2 linked regions of the Arabidopsis thaliana genome follow. The protein of the gene in region 1 interacts with the protein of each later gene in a pairwise test. Each region holds a gene or a part of one and is shown on either strand. Other genes may lie near its edges.

Region 1 (9,475 bases):
CTTTTTCTCTCTTTTTTTTTTTTTTTTGTTTTCCAACTTCTTCTTCACTTTGGATTCTTATTTATTATGTCATTATATTTCTCATCTCTAACGAAAACAAATCATGCATGTTTCATTTTCAATAAAGGGTAGCCAATTCCCTCATTTTTTTTCATTTCTTTTTTCTTAAAGAATGGCTAAAAGTAGAGGACACAAATAGATCCGTCGGTGAAGAGACCTAATGTTTTAACAAAATAAAAGATGAGACCTAATGTTTCTTCTTATATTGTAGGTGGTTTTAATTTACAGTTGTTTTGATGGTTTTCCTCAATAATTTGTTACATAACTTACCAACACACTACATTCAGTAGAAATTGTGAAAAGTATATATTTGGATGTTTTTTTTGTTAAAGAAGTATTCTAAATTAGACTACTAGGAATTATCTTATGAGGTAATTAGATACCTTATTTACATTGGAATTTGGGAACGACAAAGAAAAAACAGAAACTACATTAGATGTTTCTAGCACATATTAAAGTTCATGATCGAGTTAGGAATACACATATCATCCTATCGCTAAAGATCTCATAGTGATTCGAGTATTGTTAACGAATCTCAATTCTAACCATAATGATATTGTTAATACACGCAAGATAATGTTTGGCATTATGATATTATAACTAAGATATTAATCACATTTACTTAAAGATGAACTTCTCGATTATTCATATCCTATCCTTTATTTTGAATTTTCAGTTTGAAGAAAAGGAAAAAAAGACCTTTCAAACTTTCATGGCGTACGAATAAGTCTTAGTATGACTCGAATCTTTTCGTTTGATTTAAAATCATATCCCTAGAGAAGTGAAGACTAAGAGGACTAATTATTTAACAAAATTAATATTGAGAAAAACAGATCCACATTAACTCACTACCACATAGCTAAAATTAAAAACTAGAAGAGATTAGATATATAATCTGGTGGGCACGATTCAGAATAGCACGTGAAATATTATATTTATAACAAATCCAGCTAACCGTGATCTACGCTAATTATGATTTCCAGAGCAAAAGTGACCGTATTATTATTGGTGTCTTCATTAAATTAACAATAATTTATAGACCTAATCACTATGAAAAATCAAGTTGATTATAACATGGATACTTCCATAGTATTAAATTATGATCTATTAAATGATCCAATGACCAAAAACAATATCCAATGTTAGAGAGTACTACTATTTACCTGTTCATACTAAAAAGACAACGGTAATTACCGTTTGGGTCCCATGGATAATGATTGGATTAACACTAATTAATTAAACCTAACGGTAACTTGTAGATATAGATACTGCTTATATCTTTTGATATAGCTGCGTGCGTATAGACTTTACAATAATTATTCGCCATGGTTACATAGAAGAATAATCTCGTGTGAAAAAAGAAGAAGATACAACAAGAATGTGTATTGTGTCATGGGGTAGTTGTTTGTGTCAATTCTTCTGTATCCAAATGTTCTTGTTCTCCTTCCGATCTCTCAGACTCAATAAGCATGAGAACAACTTGTCGCATCGATGGCCTCGCGACTGGAGACACACTTGTGCAAAGAAGTGCAATCTTTAACACAGTGAGCATATGAGAGACAATTCTCTCGTCTTCTAGCGTTAACCGAGCATCAAGAACTCCTGAGGACAATGCATCTCTTCTTATGTAACTCCTCACCCAATTCACCACATCTCCTCCTTGATCTATTGGCTGAACCGGGGCTTTTCCGGTTAGCAGCTCCAGTAGAACCACCCCGTAGCTATAGATGTCAGACTTCTCTGTCACTTTCATGGTGTATGCATATTCTGCAAAGTTGTTAAAACAGTTTAATTTCAGTTCCCTCATTGGATACTTAATTGCACAAACAAAAGCAAAAACTTTACCTGGGGCAATGTAGCCATAGGAGCCAGCAATAGCAGACATGGATTTAGAATGTGGCATGTCAATCACTTTTGCTAGTCCAAAATCTCCCACATGAGCTTCAAACTTGTCGTCAAGCAGTATATTGTTTGATTTTATGTCCCGGTGGAAGATTCTCGGCTTGCAATCATGGTGCAAATAGGCGAGACCCTGAGCCGCACCTAAAGCGATTTTAAATCTCTTAGACCAATCCAAGTTGCATGAAGGATCATGAAGTATTTCTCCAAGGCTTCCCTTGGGCATGTACTCATACAGAAGCAGATTTGATCCTTGGTGATTGCAGAATCCATGTAGCTTGACGATGTTACGGTGCCTGATATTCCCAAGAGTTAGAATCTCTGCTCTAAAGCTATTATCCACATTGTTGTTGTTGCCGCCTTCATGGTTTGATGCCAGCTTCTTGACAGCTAGAGTGTACCCGGCTGGAAGAACCGCTTTGTAGACGGTTCCACAAGCTCCTCTCCCAACTACAAAGCTCTCGTCGAAATTATCAGTGGCTGCAACTAAATCTTGGAACGTGAATCCTTCCTTTGGAGGGAAGTATATGTCCAAAGACATTTCCGATGGTTGGCCATCTTGAGCAGAAGAAGCGACTGTTCTCACTGGGCGTCTCATGAGGTAGACAATGAGAGCAATCAGCATGAGAGAGACCCCGCCAATCACAGCTGCAGTAATGGCTATGATTTTACTCGAACGCATTCCTCCGGGCTTCCCGGTTGACTGAGAAGGCGCGAAAGGCTGTGTTTGGATACACTGGTTGAGCGGCGGGCCGCAAAGCCCTTCATTACCGATGAAGCTAGACATGGATATGTTACGGAGAAGTGGAATAGGACCAGTTAAGCTGTTGTATGAGAAGTTGTAACCAAGCAAGCTGGAGAGATTAGCAAAAGAGCTTGGTATTTCCCCAGACAAATTGTTGTTGTTGAGGAGCAGGAACTCAAGCATAACAAGATTACTGAGCTCAGGTGGTATTTCTCCGGTAAGCTTGTTATAACTGAGGTTCAATGCTATTTGCAAACCCGTCAGACTGCCCAACTCCCGTGGAATGCTACCGTTGAACAAGTTTCCACCCATTTGTAGTTCGGTCAAGCGAGATAAGTTCCCTAGAGCCACAGGTATTGTACCCGAAAGATTATTGTTTGAGAGCTTCAGAAGCTCAAGCTGGTAGAGGGAACCTACCTCACTTGGTAAGGTTCCAGAGAAATTGTTGCAACACATGTCTAGTCGCTGAAGCATCTTGCAGTTGAAGATTTCAGAAGGGACCTCTCCAGTAAGCTTATTGGATGAGATATTCAAGGTCCCAAGCTGTGAAAGCATGCCAATCTCTCTAGGTAGCTCCCCCGTGAAGCCATTGTCTGCTAGCTGCAGCCTTTGTAGGGCACTGCAGTTCCCGACCTCCCTAGGGATGGAACCACGGAATCTGTTCTGTCCCAACTCGATGGCTGTGACATTAACCTGTTTACACAGGTTGGATGGGAACCGACCAACGAGGTTGTTTCTGGCTAGACGAAGTTGGACCAGAGTTTTGCAAGTGGTGATTCCAGTAGGAATGTTGCCAGAGAGGTTGTTTGTACCCAAGTTCAAGATGATCATATTGGAGTGAAGGCAGAGGTAGCTTGGAATTCTTCCACTGAGATGGTTATCGGACATATCAAGAACCCAGAGATCGCTATACCAGCCAAGTTTTGGAGGTATGGTCCCGCTAAGGGAGTTCTGAAACAGCTGCAGCATGAAGAGTCCTCTTAGATACTGAAATCCCAGGGGAATAGGACCCGTTAAAGCATTGATGGAGAGATCAAGCTTTGATAGATTCTTCAAAGTAGAAAGCTCCACAGGGATGGTACCTGTGAGTTGGTTCTCAAAAAGATAAAGAAGCTCAAGCCCCTCTATGTTCCCTAACTCCAAAGGTATCTCTCCGGTCAAAGCGTTTTCCGAGAAATCTATCTCAATTGCATATGAGAGATTCCCAATCTCTCTTGGAATCGTTCCATTCAACCCGTTTCTGTAAAGGTAGAGAAACTCCAGCGACTGAAGGTCCCCGAGCTCTTTCGGGATTGGCCCGACAAGCTGGTTCTTGTAGAGAGCAAGGGTTTCTAAACTTGTGCAGTTGCTAATCTCCCTGGGGATAAACCCTGAGAACTCATTTTCCCAAAGAATCACCTGTGAAAGTTTCTTGAGCATTCCAATCTCTTTTGGTAATTCACCACTCAACTGGTTCTGTGCAAGACCAAGCATGACCAAGCTCTCACATCCACCAATCTCAGAAGGCAAACTTCCAGAGATCATGTTCTGACCGGCTCGGAAGCTTGTCAGTCTCTTGAGGTTGCCGATGGAACGGGGCAATTGTCCACTGATGTTGTTACTGTAAGTCACCAGTTGAGAGAGAGACAAAAGGTTCCCAATCTCCACAGGGAGAGACCCTGAGATTCTGTTGTTGTATATGATCAGATTCTCCAAAGACACAAGCTTACCTATTTCCACAGGTATCTCACCATCAAACTGGTTATTGTTTAGTTTCAGAATCTCCAAGCTTGAACAGTTGCCAATTTCCTTAGGAATTTTCCCTGACAACCCATTATATGACAGATCCAGCTGCTTCAGATGAACCAATCCACCTATGCTTGGTGATAGCTTACCCGAGAGAACCATCGAAGACAGATTCAAGGACAAAACCTCTGGATCACTCGAATAGTTGCTGCACATCACGCCAGTCCATCCACAAGGTACAGAATCATTTGAATTCCAGTTTCTCAAATTCTGCTTAGCATCCACAAACTTGCTCTTGATTTCAAGAAGATATTGACCTTCTAAGTTCAACCCTGTTGTCTCAGAGATCAGAAGGATAAGAAGAAGAGATATGAAAAAAACAGCAAGCTTCATCATTTCCTTTACCATTCATGCATACACAGAAGCCCTTAAATCTTCATTAGAAGACATCAAACAAGATGTAATCATGTCTGCAAAAACCTCACTTTGTACATCTCTTAAAGACTACATACCATAAAACCATCCAAAAAAACTCAAATCATGTAGCATAACAAGCATATTTGAAAGAAGAATACAGGCCCTACTAAACTATGGATCTGGATCCAAGACACATAGCTATGAAAATTCTAGGCAAGAAAACAACCTTTGAAACTGGTTTCAGGAAAGGAAAAAGAGAGAATAGAAGAGGTGCAGACCTTTTTTTCTTCTTTCCAGGAAAACAATATAAAAAGGAAATGGTCAAGCTATGATTAGTTTTTTGATCATTGAAAGCTTTGAAGTTTGAAATTTGTTCATTAAAAAAGTCTTCTATTAGTACTGGCCTGTCTTTTAATATTAGTTTCAGAAGCCTATCAGCTTTGCTTTTGTTTATTTCAAGTAAAAAAGAAACTCAATATTCGTTTTGTCTTTGAAGCAACAAATAAAGTAAGCCATGAATTAGTCAAAGTGAGAACTACAAGGCTTAAAAATGATGGTCCTTTTTGTAACTTTGAAGCTATAATAGACTCTAAGTACTCAAATCAACAAGATAGAGATGGCCGACATGGCATGAGAACTTGGCTTTCCTCATTCTCTCACGACCTCAATTTCGTGCATTATTATTCTATTGTAAAGTATCAATTATACTCCAAGCAAAACAGTTGTTTTAATCTTCTATATACAGACGACAACCAAGATAACAACTGGAGAAGGGACAACAAGCTCGACTATAAGTTATAGTCCAAGGACAAATGCTTCGAGAAGCTTGTCAATTTTGAGACCAAACTTCAGTCTTGTAATGAGACTACTAAGAAGAGGCAATGATAAGTACCCACTTGATCATTCACAGCAAGATACCTAATTGACTGTTCAATATACCGAACCAAGCTATACAAATTCCAAGATTAGTATGAAAAGTACCTCAAGTGGCTACAACAACTCCTTCGATGAGGAATGTAAGAAGAAACGCGTTCTTGTTCCACAGGAGACGGCCTAATCAGTAATCACCTCTCTCTCTCTTTTTTTCCCTTTCATAGTTGCCGAAGAAAATGACCCGAATCCTACGCCGGAGAAGCTCGCCGGATCCTCTGTTATCTCAATTTCGATTTGAGAATTTTAAATCTTTTATGTTCAAAATGGACTGAAAATTGGTGTGCCGTTTTTAAACAACAAAACGGCGTTTATTCCGGTTGTTGTGTCGTTTTCTTACAGAGCAAAACGACTGTGGTTTGTGTTATTAACAGTTGTTAATATCTATTACTTGACCATCTCTAAAAACAAATTCGGAGGACTAAACTTTGTAGCTTAAGCATTTTGTTAATATCTATTACTTGACCATGTCTAGACTCAAGATCAATGGCATATACATAGTGATATAGTTGATGTATGAATTATGAATTATGAGACAATACAAAAAAAATGATGAAATATGGATCCACATTAGCTCACTAAGAACATAACTAAAAATTAAAAACGACTATTCAAGATTTATAAATAAAATAGGTGGAAACTATTCAGTGATTCAGAATAGCACGTGAAATATTATATTTAAAATATCCAGCTAACAGTGATCTACGCAAATTAGGATGAATTCCAGAGAAAAAGTGGTCATAAAATAAAATAAAATAAAATACAAAAACCCAAATTAAGTTAGTAGCACTAATTAATCATGCTACATACATAGTCAAAGTTCGTAGTAAGTAGACTTAGAAATAGTTACCGTTAGAGTTATTACGATTAGGACAAGCGTTAGCAAAATGTGAAGGATCGCCACATGAGAAGCACCTTATACCACTCACTGGCTCTCCAGTTGCAGAGACAAAGCTTGTTCCAGAGCCGCGTCGTCCTCCACTGCTTTGGCCGCCTCTACCTCCACGGCCACGACCACGGCTGCCACGTCTACCGCTCCCGCCGCTATTAGACCCTGTTGTTGCATTCCCACTACTGTTGTTTATGCTATCTTCCCATCTGTTTACAAGCAGTGCAAACAAAAAACTGATGTGTTGAGTGATGTAAAAGGAAAAAAAAATGGATTATGCGAAGAAATTGGGGTAAAACCAGACTCTTACGCAAAGAAACTGCAGCCTTGTGTTGGACATGAGAAGAATTGTCTTCCCCTGTTAGCTTCTGTGTTGGCTGTACGAAGAACACATTGTGATCCACAAGTGTTACATGATACTGTACTTTCATCTGCATTATAACCAACAATACTAGAATATAAATTACATGTCAATAAGGAAGACTTGGTCTGGACAATTTGCTTGAATTTTGACTAGTATATAGTACATACTAGCAAAAGCTAATCGATGATCTTTGTTTGCTAAACTATTATACAAGGATCAGTACCGTTTCTCGGATTTGTTGCAGTAGGACGAGAATTTCGAGATGCTGGAACCCGTGAGGGACAATTCGTGGAAGCATGTCCTCGTTGCTGACAATGTATGCAGACATTACTCTGTCTTGTGTTGCTTCCTTGGATATTGTTTGACGGTGCAGTACCTGGAGTTCTCCTTGCTGCAAGAACAAATCATTGATTCTTTTTAGCCTAAATGTTCTCTATTCGCAAGACACTATACTAAAGTTCTTGCATTCTCATTTAGGACAGAAGATGATGAAAGAAAGATTGTATGATGTCTAATACAAAGGTATATGTATTGCGTAACAACAAAGCACTAACCTTGAGAACGGGATCCAGTTCCACAGATGTCTATCAACTGTTTAAGAATGTCATCACAGCCACCCACGCAACCTGATCACAACATTACCATAGGACATATTAGAAGAAGTCACGATGAAATTGGCACGGTGGCTGTGATGACATTAAAATCAAAGCCTGGTAAAAAAATCAAAGCCTGGTAAACAAGAAAACAAATTGGCTGCAATTTTTTTTACCTAAGTGATTAACATCAAAGCCTGGTGGAATTCCAATTTGACGGAACTTGAAAAGTATCTTGTAGACCGGGCCTACAGAAAGAGAAAGGCACCATTTAATAATAAAGACAGAAAGACACATGTACACGCTGTGTCATCCAAGTGTAATTTAGTTTTTGAAATTCAATTCACTGTTATACTGGAGAATCTGTGGCTATACCTGGACCACAGGATTGACAAACATTAGTAGTGACAGATGCTTCCAATGTCGGTCCAGGAAGCCAGACTGCATTCCGACACTAGAGAAAGGAAAATGTGTGAAATTAATATAATAGATGTAAGCAAGGAAGCATAAACGAAGAAATACTGAAATGTCAAATGATTAGATCATAATCTTCAGAAATAAGGTTACAATACAGAGAGCAAAAAGTTTAAATTTCCAACAATATATATGGTATGTAAAGAGCGGTGAAATTCTGACCTGAGGATAATTCATGCACCCAACCATGAAATTGCCATCCTGCAAAGAAAGGGAATAGAACGTTTAACCTGTGGTTCCCATTAACAATAGGGAGAACAGAGAAAATTTTGTTCAGACAGAATATATGATACCCGGTTCTTCCTGAGTGCCATATCTGATTCATTGCAGAGATTGCATCGTCGGACAACTTCACCAGCTGTCTGACTTTCACTCTCATCAGTGTTATTAGATCTGCACATGCAGTATCATATTATATTACGAAGAAATAGACTTCAGCTACACAGTACTGAACAAAGTAACGAGACTACCTTTCAAAGAAAATTGTCATTGCTTCTAGGAGCTTTGATTTTTTTACTCTTGCCTGCGAGAATTAAATTTGTGAATGACAATTAGAAAAACACGGCATTCAGTTCCAGCCTACTGTGTTAGCAGCACCTTCAGCAATAACAGATTTGGCCACAGAGAGAAGACAAAAAGTCTAATAAAAAACAGCTGACTCACATCTAAGAAACAAGCTTTCATTTGCTGCAAACATGTTTCAAGAACTTCAGCTTTGGTCTTCCTGCCAACGCTAACTTCATTCATATCATGTTCCATAAGGGCTCTGAGATTTGGTTTCCAAAGTTCATACCTGAGAGAAAAACGTCAAAAGATTGGCAACAAGAAGACTGACAGACATCAAAGTCTTAGAGGGCTCTTCAAAAGGGGCTTGATACAAATGAGGTCTCTCCAAATAGATAGGCTCTTAACATAAAAATATAAATTCTTTAATCAGTTTACTCTGATTAGAAGGGAAATATGATTGAAAGCCACAAATATATAATGATATATGAAGGAGGCTCTAAGTTTTTTGAAACGTAAGGAAAATTTGTAGTACATCACATGCAGTCTTATACATACCCCATGTCATCATATCCCATCACAAGCGCCTCACCCTGAAATGAAATCAGTACAGTAAGCTAACTTCAGAAACGCTGAACAGACATATAAGGGCTAAGAACATATATATCAAATTATCCCAGGGAGAGTAGTCTTGCTATAACTCCAGTTAATAAAGTTAATTTAGATGTTTTATACACTTAAGAGTTCAGACAATACTACCACTATATATAGATACACAGTTTTGCTATAACCAGATAAAGTTCATAAAGATGTTTTTATAGTCTAGAGACCAGAAAACGTAACCAATATATGTCTAGGCTGAAGTTTGAGATAAA
Region 2 (6,122 bases), on another chromosome or scaffold:
CCAATATCGCGAGGGAACCTTTGATCAAAGGAACATTTTCCACAATGTCGCTAGTGTCATTTCATCCAAATTTAATCATCACCGAAATCCAGTCATTTCACCGTTAGAGATATCAATAGTTCGATTTGTTCTTGTATTGGCTTTTAGTTAAACTTAAACGATGCCTATAAAAAGTTATAAAGTGGAAGATTAAATATTAATATACGTCATCAATGACGGTTGGTCTCAATTCTTAATTATTAATGGTTATCTTCTGCAGCGAACCAAATCAATAAGTTTAGTTATTTTGTTGTAATTAATTTCAATATTCAAAGTTTCGAACATGTTGGCTTTAGACCGAAGGTATTTTCAAAAGATGCACAGAGAATTAAGGGGGATAACAGAGCAAGTAAGAAGGATAACTTTTGTAAGGTTATTACGTGATCTCAAACAAAAGTGATTTCATTTGTTCCATCTTGGATAATAATTTTTATAAAAAAACAAAACCAATTAAATTAGAAAAACATATATTTCATCATAATATGAGCCTTATGTTATGGTAATTGGCACGTGCCATGTGATAACGGAACGGAAGAGATCAGATCTCAGCGGTTAAATAGTAAAGAGACCCTCCGTCCTCCGAATCTTGCGGTGCTACATAGTCAACCTAAAAGCCTCAACCAATTTTATATAGACACGTCATCCAAACCATTCACACGATTGTTTTTTTGTTTTTTTTTTCCACACCATTCACACGACACGATATGAAACATACAATACTTGTATTACTCTCATTACAGGTTCACTATCAGTTTATTATTTTTTATGGTCATAGTTTATTTTTTCCCTTGTGATACAAAAATCATTGAATCGAGAGAAGTTAAGATTCAACATTGTATTTTTTTTATTTTTTTTGTGATGCCAATATATTAACCATCAAATAAAATAAAAATGAGTCAATTGGATCTGTCAGATGGAACTTTTGTTAACCCTAACCTTTTATCAAAAAAAAAGAAAAAGGATGTTACTTTTTTTGGGATCAAATTTACTATTTTATTATCCCTTGTTATTATATGACCTATTACCGTTACGAAATTGATTTTCACAAGCAAAGCAGATATGGCACAAGCACATTGATAAGCGAACAATCAAATTGATTTCTTCTCTCTTTTTCCTTTTTTTCAATTTCATTCACACCAAAGAGTTTCACCACATTCAAATTCGGATGAATCTAAGGTTATAAAAACATCAAACAAATATCACTTTAGAATATATCTACATCCAACAATTTTAGGGTTTACATGTACTATATAAACCCAAATAAATAATCATGGATCATGATTTCACATACAATTCCTTGGAACCATAACTCCAGAGGCTCGTCCATGGGCGTTCCTACAATAAGAAGCTGATGATCTTCTCATGTAAGTAAGCTTAATGTCTTGTAACCTAAGCCCTGTGCAATGATTGCTTCCACTACAATCCAACTTCATTGCTATTGGTGTTGTTGATGTCCCCTTTATGTTTGCAAAAGTCACTCCACTTATCTTCACTCCAGAGCTCTGTTTGATCAATCATAATAAGATTCCATTAAATAAAGACTAGATTTAGGATTTGAGTTAAGCTAAATTGACTAGATTATATACCTGGCGAGGACAACCTTTTCCATTAGGACAATAGTTTTGATCGATTATCACCGGATTTTCAACATTATTCATTATCAAATTTCGAAATACCACATTATTCACAAACCCTCTGCTAGGCCTAGCCCATGTCTTTATTCTTACTCCGTTCTGCGTCTTGGTGAAAACAGAGCTCGTAACGGTTACATTTTGCACACCTTCCTCATTAGCGTAATCCCCAAGACTCCCAATGCTGCATCACATTTACAAGCAAAATTGCTTTAATTGGCACTCAACCATCGCATTTAAGTTGATTATTGTTGAATTCCTAGTTACCTGATTCCATGTCCCGGTCCACAATTGACACGTTCGATCCAAATGTTCCTAGATCCTTGACTAAGTGCAATGCAGTCATCACCGGTCGCAATGGTTCCGCCACTAATGGTGACTCCAGAAGAAGACTGTACGTGGATACCATCGGTGTTAGGGCTTCCACTTGGAGCCCTAATTCTTACGTTTTCAATCCGAACATTAGAAGAATGATGAACCGTGACGTGCATATTCTGGCTATTAAACGACGATAGACCACTTAGTAGAACGTTATTGCACCAGCTGAACGATATAGACTGCAAAAGAAGCCATGTCCAATTATAATTAAATCAAATTAATATAACTAGCTAATAAATGAACAAATCAAATCCGCTAGTTTTGATGTAAACATACCCTTGCACCTTGAGGACAATGACTACCTTTCTTTCTACAAGACCAATAACCAGCTCCTCTAGCATCAATGGTGCCACCGTAAACCGAGATCCGGTTTACTTTAGCGAAAAGAATCCAATAACCGGAATTACCTATATCCCAGTAGTTCGCTGGAGCCACGAGTGTTCCATCGTTTTTGAAAGTTATAATGTTCTTGCAAGGACCCCAAAAGACTAGGTTTTTGACCAAATATGTTCCACGGGGAACGTAGACCATGGCTCGAGCCCGTGAGCCGCAGGCTAATGACCAAGCTGTCAAAAAGGACTTGGTCGCATCTGCTCTCCCATCACCTCTAGCTCCGTACCTTTGGACGTTAAACGATGGCATTGCGTGTGATGACTTGATTAAGAAGAAAATATTGATAGAGAAAAATATGATGGCGCAAGGAAAGGAGATGTTGTTGGCCATCTTAAATCTCTTCTAATTTGCGATGGCTTTGTGATGATTGTAATGATTTAAGAAGAAATAATGAGAAAGGTTATATACTGTATATATAAAATAAAAACAAATTTTATTTTAGATCGGACGATCCGTGTATTAATGACTAATCGCGTTAGATGCGGTGCATTAAAATATAAGTGACCTAAATGTTACTTGATTCCATAGTCTATGTTATTTAATGATAATGTACTTATGACTTGTGTGAGTACAACTTGTTATGTACGAATATTAGTCGATAAAGCGACGCATGCATGAATTATTGCAAAACAAAGTTGTACTCTCAGTTTCCACGTTATCTATATGCAAATGCTTATTGATCAGTTTCCTTATCAACTTAATTCACTGAATCAGAAAATATTTTTTTTGTCTCTTTACATAAACAGTTTGATATTCTTTTGAACTTAATCAATTGATTCAGATAATAATATTATTTTTTCTGTTTATGCTTTTTAAGATTTCAAGTTTAGTATGTTGGTGTCATGATTTTATTACCCATGACGATTTCACGATACTTTGTAAATTTGTAATCAAACTTCGGTAAAGAAGGTGAATCTGATGTATAATGCGGTAAATAAAACAGCAGAATATATCAATCAAGTGGAGAAGAAACTTAGAAACAAAAATTATCTATCATGCACTGTTGGAATTTACTGTAATGTCACGTGGAGAAAATTCTGCAGGATAATTGGGCGGGAATATATGCAAGGCATGGCTCCTGCAAACCTCTCTATACATTATTTTAATTTATCGTACAGTTGAAAAGAAAAGAAAAAGTTATAAGCTCTCAAATTCTCAATATAGGCCTTGGTTGAAAATCTAAAAACATTGAGCCATGCCTTAACATAATATCATATAACAAGCATAAAAAATTTAAAGTTGTAAGTTGATTAAGAATTATTTGTTCTTGCTGAAAAAAATGAAAAAAAGGAATTATATGTTCATGATTGAAGACATAACAAACGTCTGTCTCACACAAGTATGGATGTTATGGGCCCATTATTTATGAAGGACTGTATTTGTAGGTCTCGTTTACCTTTCAGAAACCCAATATGTTTCCTTCTTCTGGTTCAAAGCCCAACGTTTTCCAAGTCTAGAAACGATACATTTTTTCCATTACATACTTTGTATTACTTTTTCAAAATTCACAACTACAAGTCTACAAATATGATGTATGTTTAATTTCCCCGCGCCTTTATGTTATGTATGTAGATGGCTGGATCAATTCGATGAAAACTAATAACAATTGCCATCTGAAGACACAAAAATAGACTGTTTATTTTTTATGTTGAATAATTAAATTAGATTGGCTTCTCAATTAACAAATCGATTTGAGTTTATATCCATCATGATCACATGGCTATATCGAGTTTTAATATAGTGTGTAAATGTCAACGACTACATTAAATAAAATGGTCACTCTATCTTCTAAAATACTAAAAGCCCATAAAAATGAAAGAATTATTCACGAATTTTTTTTCTTGCTCTTATGACATGATCAAATTTTCAAATTTAGTTTAACTATAATTAGAAGATTGAAGGACCAGTGCCAGTAAATATCAGTATGTTACTGCGGTTAATGATATTTACTAATTAAGGTGTAAATTGCTTCTGAAAATCAGTCTCCAACCTCAACTAACATAATTACGTAACGAAACAACTAATATTTGGTCAGTATTTAGACAAAATACGTAACAATCAAAGAGAAACATGAACTCAACATGATGTCCTTCTACATAAATGCGGCAAAGCATATATGCATGCGTAATAAATGTGTTACGTGAATTTATACATGATATTTTTGAGATCTTGCAATGCATGTGATCAGCCATAGACAACATAATTATGAGTCTGTAAAATAAATAATATTTGAAAATCTATATATAGTTTGATGATTGGTATATGACTATATGGTCGCATACTCGAATCCTTATACTTGATCAGATATATCATACATCATTATGTACATACCTATTGGGATTTTCAGTATTTCATACGGTTTTATAGTTTTTTTCTGGTTTGGTTTTGATCAGTTTTCAAAACTAAGCCGAGAAATGAATAATCACTAGTATTATTACTATCCGAACAATTAAATAATACTCTTTTCATTGTATTTTTATCTAAACAATTAATTTAAAATAAATTCTGATTGTTTTTTGTTTCGTTTGAAGTTACATTATATTAGAAAAAAATATGTTGATTCATAAGTTGATTTGGTTTAGTTTCAATAAGCTTTACTTTACTTGGGATTGGTTGGTATACTAGATATATTATAATATACATATATTTTCTAGTTAAAGAAAGCAACGAAATGTTTTTTAAAAACATACATAACTTGGGCTAAAAGCTTATCCTATAGCACATACTCAAATTTTCATATAGCACCACTCTTCTAGGTTTAAGCAAAGGGTTGAGTCACAAATCAACTTCGATCCCTTGAACATGAATGCAATTAGTACTCATTCGGCATCATGATCCTCCAATTGACCTTGAATATTAATTAAGTAATTACCGGAAAAGTATATTCGAGTAGTTAAAAATCTTATCTTTCTTAGTCTCGCCATTAGCACGTTAATTTAAATGCATGAACTTGAAAAATGTGAGTAATCAAATGTTTGACTTAAGAAAACATTCAAGTATACGAAAGAAATTTAATTTTGGAGAAATTTAAAGAACCTTTCGGTGTGATCATTGTTCCAATTTCGATCCGTATTCTTCTCCAATTGTCACGTTCCGTAACCATGTTGCTCCAATCATCCAAATATTATTTTCCATTTATACTTGTTCCATAATCTTCTTTGTCATCTTTTGAATATTTAAATAACATACTTCAGAATGATTTGATAAAAATTCTGATTTGACAATGAAACTTTGGTCGTAAAATCTTACATATGTGGATGGCTCATCCAAACATGCATGCATGATCGTAATTTTTTTTAGGCCTGAACAAAATTGGATTAAATAATAAATATATACTACAAACTTTGAAAATACATTCAGCGTAACCTAACTAGAGTTGCATAAAACAAAAATTATCAGATCTTGTAACGTTTACCAAATGTATTTATTGGCAAGTAAAGCTAATCGTTCAATAAAATAATTGTCCGCATGCATTGATCGTGTGTCCCCACAAACCATCTTGCATAGGCAGCAAATCCAACGTGAGTCGTGACCATTATTAAGTTACCAATATTGAATCCACACTATTGCCAAGGACCTATAGCCAAGTAGCTCAAGACGTTTGGCTGCTATCTTAGGTATTACCGAATTCAAATCTATATTTCCTCCATGGGTCACATACGAAACTACTTTTACGATGAA

The links.
Region 2: the proteins of AT5G63930 (region 1) and AT2G43880 interact in a protein complementation assay, tested with the Arabidopsis thaliana proteins (one large-scale study listed by BioGRID).

Annotation. Positions count from the first base shown.
Region 1 is NC_003076.8:25,578,368-25,587,842, reverse strand, and holds AT5G63930 (Leucine-rich repeat protein kinase family protein), read right to left. Parts: upstream 6,148-9,475; 5' UTR 4,838-6,147; coding exon 1,906-4,837; intron 1,828-1,905; coding exon 1,451-1,827; 3' UTR 1,223-1,450; downstream 1-1,222. Other genes in the region: TOP3A (topoisomerase 3alpha), read right to left, coding at 6,613-6,874, 6,976-7,096, 7,253-7,420, 7,584-7,655, 7,799-7,870, 7,998-8,076, 8,259-8,297, 8,390-8,489 and 3 more.
Region 2 is NC_003071.7:18,169,683-18,175,804, reverse strand, and holds AT2G43880 (Pectin lyase-like superfamily protein), read right to left. Parts: upstream 2,917-6,122; 5' UTR 2,772-2,916; coding exon 2,325-2,771; intron 2,228-2,324; coding exon 1,938-2,227; intron 1,855-1,937; coding exon 1,626-1,854; coding exon of another isoform or gene 1,599-1,625; exon of another isoform or gene 1,542-1,598; coding exon 1,323-1,541; 3' UTR 1,131-1,322; downstream 1-1,130.